Linked DNA regions of Oryzias latipes. The protein of the gene in region 1 purifies or fractionates together with the protein of each later gene. This does not show direct contact. Links are inferred from orthologs where the notes say so. Each region holds a gene or a part of one and is shown on either strand. Other genes may lie near its edges.

Region 1 (2,788 bases):
GTCTTTGTTGTGAGTTCATGTCAGTTCTTTATGGTATCTCTAAAACTATAAGGCCCTTCATATCAATCGTTTGATTTATTTTTGACAGCATACTTCTACTTTTGTGTGAAAAGGCAAATCCCACAGAGCTGTGGATTTTTTTTTCCCCATATTTTTTTGCCTCTAAATCAACCGATATGAACAGAGCTACACGGTTATTGCTGAGAGGAGCATCAGCCCTGCATTGCTGTTATTTATTTAGTATTATTGTTTAAATAAATTGTGTTGATTTATTTGAGTTCTCAGGACAAATGTCCATACTTTTCAACAGTTTTGGAATACAAGAAGAAATCCAATTTCCATAGTCCCTTTTACTTCAGTCATTATTTTGCTTAAGAACAGCTCTGCAGTCTCCTCTGCAAAAGCTCCAGGAATAGAAAATAGTTAGTTAATTAGGTTTTATATATTTCATTTTTTTACGTTTTATGGGGAGGAAACTAGACTCATTTCCAAGCCTGCAGAAGCTGCTGCTCAGTTTTCATCCAATCAAACTCTTTGAGTTTTTAAGAGTTTGGAGAGAAGACAAATCCGGCATTTCAGGAGTATCCCCATGTTTATCTTAAAATTTCTGACACCATGAAGAATGTGCTCCTACATTCCTCGCCATTGAGGAGAGTTGTGTCTTATACCGCAGAGAGTGGAAGATGCCTTTTACACTCTGGTACGGGAGATCAGGCAGTACCGGCTCAGTAAGCTCAGCAAGGAAGAAAAGACTCCACGCTGTGTCAACCTTAAAAAGTGTGTTGTGATGTGAGAGGGGTAAGTGTACGCAGCCGCGCACCCATCAGCTCTGTGTGTTGTTGGGGGGAACGGCGGACGAGGGATGGAGGAAGACACTGAGCCAAAGCTGGTGCTTCATGTGGTGTCAAAGCTAACCTGCTGGCTTTTATTGGGACTGTGGTGAGGTTCTAACACGAGCCTGACGTGTTTTGATTTCTTCTATTTTCAGTCTCCATGTGTTGTGGTGGATTATTGTCTAAGGTCATTTTCACACTGGGTTCATCCATCAAGTTTGGGGAAGTTTGATTTGCGCAGCTGGTGTGCTTCTGCATGGATGTCTGAACTCTTTTTCATGGGTTTCTTTTGCCTTATCCCTTCCCCATGGAGGAGCATTTGTCAGTCCTTGTTTCAGCAGTAAAACGACCTCCTAAAGGACTCCTGGCCTAAAAAAGGAATCGATCCAATCAAGTGTTTGGTCACGTTTTTACCAGATTCAGGGAAAACTACCAGTGTGAAAATATCCTTCTGTGCTGAAAGAAACTTGTGTACATGGTTTTGGGTTGCTAAGCCATCTTGGGCGGCTGTAGGTTCTTTTAAAAAAAAAAAAAAATTTAATGGTGAATGTGGGACTAAATCATGCTGAAATATTCATGTCTTTAAAAAAAATAAAAAAGCAAAAAAACAGCAAAAATTCTGACCACAAAGGCTGTGTGTGTTTTGCCTATACGAATCTCTCCATGTCTGTTCTGCATTCTCTGGTTGTCTTCACAACATAAAGTGTCCCAAGGCTCTTTACTCAACAGCTTTTTGCAGATTATTGTCGCATTTCTTGAACTACACAAACTGTTGGAGCTCTCAGACAATTGCGTCAGTGTGGCATCAACAGGCACGAGCTGTATTATAGCACAAAGCCTTTTCTTCACCCCAGCGCGAGAATAAAAGGCTCGTCTAATGTCTCCAGTCTGAAGAAATTCCCACTTAAAAAAAAAAAAAAAAAGCGGTAGCACTGAAAAAAAATGGTTTGAAAGTATTTTTTCTGTTTAAAAAAAAATAAAATTGTCTGTTTACTTTATTCTAAGATGAAAGATATGTCATTGCTTAGACTAATCTACCATGTTTTAGCCACTTGAATTTGTGCAACTGGTTAAAACATCATTTCAGATCCTTAATGTCTTGGTTAAATGTGCATTTTTAAATGACCTGTAACTTTCCAACTCTAACTTTGTACATTTATTTGCTTGTTTTTTTTTTTTTTTGCCTTATTTCCCAGGGCGTGGATGATGCCTTTTATACATTAGTCAGAGAAATCCGGAAGCATAAGGAGAAGATGAGCAAGGAGGGCAAAAAGAAGAAAAAGAAGTCCAAGACAAAGTGTATACTCATGTGAATAAATGCCCCTTTTCAAAACAGAAAAAACAACTTAATAATAAGCAGTTTAAGTAATACATTTTTGTACATTACACTAAATTATTAGCCTCCATTTCATTAAATACTAAACCCGACCTAAATTTTCCTGTTCTTTTTTTCTGGAAAACCAGTAAGCTCTCAGTTTAGTGCCAGTTGCTGAGATGGGTTAGCCCAACAGTTTGAGCTTGATTTCTTTGAGGTGACGGTGTATTTTTTTATTTTTGATTTTTTTACCTAATCATGGAACTGATGTCATCCATCACACCTGACAACACTGTTATCAGCATTAACTCCCCTTTGCTGGAAAAGCTGCAGCTCTTTTCAAGCAGAGGATGCCAAAGAATGAACCCTAGACAAAACTGAAAAAGGGTCATCGCCCCACAGGATGAGGTCCAAAACATTCTGCCACCATGTCCATCCCCTCGCCTTTAAATAGGACTTAGTTTTGTCACTGATAATTATGCATGCAAACTCCTACTCTTTTCCAAGTGTTTAACACCTTAGCTATTATGTTAGCTATTAATAAATTTGTCATTGCTTTGTACTGTGTGGGTAGAATCTTTTTTTATTTTTTATGCCTACATCAGAGGACATTTTTCTTCCTGCATGCATTGTGTCCATG
Region 2 (4,225 bases), on another chromosome or scaffold:
TGCACGCTGGAGATCTTCTTCTCGCTCAGCAGCAGGTAGGCGTCCTGGAACTCACACTTCTGACCTGGTGGCAGTGGGGAGACCGGGGTCAGCGGGGAGCTGCTTCCAGGTGAGGCTGGGGGGAGGAGCCTTACCTTTGGCGGTGTTGATGAAGTAGGGAGAGATGTAACCGCGGTCAAACTTCATGCCCTCGATGATCTCCAGCTCGTCCTGCAGCGTTTTCCCGTCCTGCGGCAGAAGGAATGAATGTTAACCAGAAAGCTTCTAGACGCCGTCAAAGGTTGGACAATGAGGACACAGGAAGTCCTCTCAGAGGCTTTGGTCCAACCCCCCATGTATGGACGCAGAACGTGCTGCCATCATTTGCCACATAACGGTCATCCAGAACCGGAGGATGTTCTCCACTCCGGTGGGTGGACTCCTCGCAGCCCCTCCCCCTCACCTTCACGGTGATGACTCCTTTGCGGCCCACTTTCTTCATTGCGTTGGAGATGATGTTTCCGATCTCCGTGTCTCCATTGGCTGAGATGGTTGCGACCTGAAACGACACGCGTGATGAGTGAGGGTGACCGTGTGGAGACGGCGTCAGGACAACCGGATGCCCTTCCCAGACCTGTGCGATCTCCTCTGGGGTGGTGACGGGCTTGGAGAGTCTCTGCAGCTCGCCGATGACCGCCTCCACCGCCATCATGACGCCGCGGCGGATCTCCACAGGGTTTGCACCTTTGCTGATGTTGTCGAAGCCCTCCTTGGCGATGGCTCTGGCCAGCACCGTGGCGGTGGTGGTGCCATCGCCAGCCTCCTCGTTGGTGTTGTTTGCCACATCCTGCACCAGCCTGGCACCGATGTTCTTGTACTTGTCCTTCAGATCGATGCTCTTGGCCACCGTCACGCCGTCCTTGGTGACCTTGGGGCTGCCCCAGCTCTGCTCGATGATGACAGTGCGTCCCTGGACCGGGAAGACGATGCTTAAAACATTCGACTGGAGCACTTTCACACCTTTCCTGTTCTGTTTCCAAACCTAATCCACCCGTCAGCGGGTTTGTTACCTTTGGGCCCATGGTGACGGCCACAGCATCCGCCAACAGGTCCACCCCCTGCAGCATGAGCGCCCGAGCGTCCGCCCCGAACTTCACGTCCTTGGCGTAGGCCCGTGTGAGATGAGGGGCCAGCGCCCGGCTCACGGGCCTCACCTGCCTCATGACTGTCGCTAAACGAAACATCTCTGTGGAGAAAAGCAGTGAAGCCATTGAGGATCCTACAGGACCAGCAGTACCGCCCGGTGGTCACCAGTGGAATTACAGTGAGCGGGAACTTAAGCAAACCCACGTGACACGCAGCATCTAAGCATCCTTAAGATGCAGACTGAGCACAAGCAAGCAGTTAATTTTTACCAGAAACATCATCTGAAACTGGGAATTTGTGACCAAGTTCAGAACATCCTGCTTAAATTGTGGGGGGAGAGGAAAGTAACTTCATCTGTGCTGCATGTCTGTCTTGTGTCTGCAGCATATTTGACAACAAAGCTGACTTTGACTTGTTTCTCCTCAGTCGGCCTGATCTTGGTTCAGCAGCATTTCAAACTGTAACAAGCGGGTCACACTCATTTTCACTGAGGGCCACATCAGCATAGTGTCTGTCCTCAAAGGGCCAGATGTAACTTATACATGTAACTAAATGTAATGAAAATAAATGCAACTACTCCTTAATGATAAATAACTCATTATTTATTTATTATAACTTTTTAAATTGACAATTCCAGCTGCATAGAAAACATATGTTTGCTTGTTATTCTAACACAAATCCTTTTACATTTGATTCTGTCAGGTTAGGTTATGTGGACAGTGTTTAAGTCCTGATGTATAGATGACCAATCCAACATTTAAATCCAATTCCCCCCAGATATGAATAAATACACACCAATGTTTATTTTTTATTCCAAGAAATTAAACACCTTTATGTTCTCGTGGGCCACATAAAATGACACGGAGGGCCACATTTGGCCCCCGGGCCTTGAGGTTGACACATGCTGTAGACGGTCAGGTTAAAGCCAGAAACGCTCCACCATCATCAGCTCCAATGGAGCATCCAGAACCCAGCCCGACATTCCCGCAGCTTCCATGCGTCCAGACGGGAGGAGGTAAGGGGGCGGAGTCAAGGACACGGCCTCGGGCCCGAACTTCTGATTGGTGGAGTATAACTGATGGGACCCTCCAAGCTGCCTCTCATTCATTCCTACGGTGACAGATCTGCTACCATTTCCTCAAACACGCCTTTTAAAATGACCGAAATACCAAAAGATAAACTTTAGTTTCCAGAACAACAGCGGCTGTTACAGTTTTCGGAATAATAATTGCAGCTTATTTCATTCAAATGAAGCTTTTCATGAATAAAGGATTCTTAACCCCTCCTGGGGGCACTAGAACCTGGTCCTACCGGGTAACGCCTGGTGAGAACCAGTCTGAGGGGTTATTAAAGCCCCACATGCCCCGCAGTCTGCTCACAGCCCCCGGTTCCCCACGTGAGCTCCTCCGGTCGTACGTCACAAGGTCAAACGTTAGAGCTCGTGCCGGCTCCCTGGACGGATTCCCTCAGCCGCTCCAGAGTAACGGGATTACACGGGGGTAACTGAGTATTTGACACGTCCCTGCCGCGGTCCCGGAATCATCAGGACGAACCGGTCCGCATACGCCAGAACCGGCTGTTCAGACAAACCCGAGCTCGGTTCTGTTCGGTTCTCCACGCACCGACAGGACAAAGTGCCGCGCGCGCAGAGACGGATCCCTGCTGCGGGTTCGGACGGTCGGTTCTTACCTGACAGGGAACCGCTGCGATCTGCCGCACGCGCTGCACGAGTGATCTAACGGAGAATACCGCACGTGGGGAATCACATCCGGGTTATGTACGGCCCCGCCCAGAACTCTGTATGACGCATAACTACTTCAATAAAACTTCTCTTTTACGTTCAAGTTGTTATCCCCGTCTTTAATCTTCATGGAGACGTTTATTCATACCTGCGCAGAATGTTCTGATCATTTATTCTCACATGAACTTTGTTACAACTAACAGAGAAACGCAGCAACGCACACTTATGCTGGTTCCTGGGCTACGATTCCAGAATTTTCCGTACCCCATTGGAGGAAAAAAAAGAGGTCAAAGGTCACATTGTGCAACATTGCGCGAGCCCGTAGAGAGTGACTTTGAAACGAAATCACCGTTTCAATGACAAATGCGGCCTAGATAGACCGGAACTGTAGGTACGGGTCTGCCTGCAGCCCCGCTGTTCTGGAGCTTTCTGTCAGCGCCTCGTTACTGCGCATGCGCGATCTGGAGGCTTCCCTCACGTGGAGACAAAGTGCAGACGGTCCGAAGCTCTCTCAGTGAAGACGTGCAGCTCTGCGCAAGCGCTCAAAAATGGTGAGGAGAGAGAAAATGATGGGATTTCTGGTTGTTTACAGCATTTAACGTCTGTCTCTGTTAGCGCGCGGGGGGGGGGGGGGGGGGGTAGTGATTGGGCTAACGATGATGACCACCACGCGCAAGGTCACGCGTCCGGTGTGCTATCCGCCGGTTCCGTTAAACCAGCTCCGTGCACTGCGCCCCATTCAGCTTATGGGACGGCGTTCGGCGCGGCGTGCCTTGCTCAAGGACACTTCCATAAGACACCGACCAGCTGCTGAACCGCGTCATCGGGTTAGCCTGGAGTGGATCGGGTTAGAAGCGAGTCAAAGACCACAGCAGCCCACGTGCTTCTTTTTTCAGACTGCGGGATCAACACCGTGAATATCTTAAGGACAGTAGTGCGTGTACACGGATGTGCGTGCACGTGTCCTGCTGGTCACCTGGTCAGGTGTGTTTAGCCAATAAGGAGCTTGAGCGGCAGGTTGGTTAGAACATGTAGGACACCGGCCCTCCAGGCCTGGATTTGGGGCCCCTGCTCTGGAGGGTCCTCGGCCTGTGGGACCTCTTCCTGGGGTCCAGGTGCTGCTCCAGGGCGCCACCTGCTGTCGGGTTTGGATGCCGTGGATGCCTGCTGTGGTTTTTGGGTGGTTCGGCCCGGTTCTCCTCTCGGTTCGGGTCAGTTTTAGTCTGGTCGGGGGGTGTCTTAAAGTCGGACCTCTTCTCTCTGAGTTTCCCTCTGACGTAGGTCGGATTCAGACTCGGGTTTGAAGGTTTCATTGCGTCTTCATGCAGTTCTGCTGTGGGGGCGGGACGGTTGATGAGC

The links.
Region 2: the proteins of kras (region 1) and hspd1 purify together in Homo sapiens (affinity purification with mass spectrometry; 3 studies listed by BioGRID and IntAct, with this or other methods). This does not show direct contact. The link is inferred for Oryzias latipes from reciprocal best matches to the Homo sapiens genes KRAS and HSPD1.

Annotation. Positions count from the first base shown.
Region 1 is NC_019864.2:21,729,620-21,732,407, forward strand, and holds the end of kras (GTPase KRas), read left to right. Parts: intron 1-673; coding exon 674-793; 3' UTR 794-798; intron 799-2,029; downstream 2,030-2,788. UniProt on the Homo sapiens protein: Ras proteins bind GDP/GTP and possess intrinsic GTPase activity. Plays an important role in the regulation of cell proliferation.
Region 2 is NC_019879.2:154,451-158,675, reverse strand, and holds the start of hspd1 (60 kDa heat shock protein, mitochondrial), read right to left. Parts: upstream 2,927-4,225; 5' UTR 2,815-2,926; intron 1,226-2,814; 5' UTR 1,224-1,225; coding exon 1,050-1,223; intron 950-1,049; coding exon 614-949; intron 539-613; coding exon 443-538; intron 229-442; coding exon 135-228; intron 65-134; coding exon 1-64. UniProt on the Homo sapiens protein: Chaperonin implicated in mitochondrial protein import and macromolecular assembly. Together with Hsp10, facilitates the correct folding of imported proteins.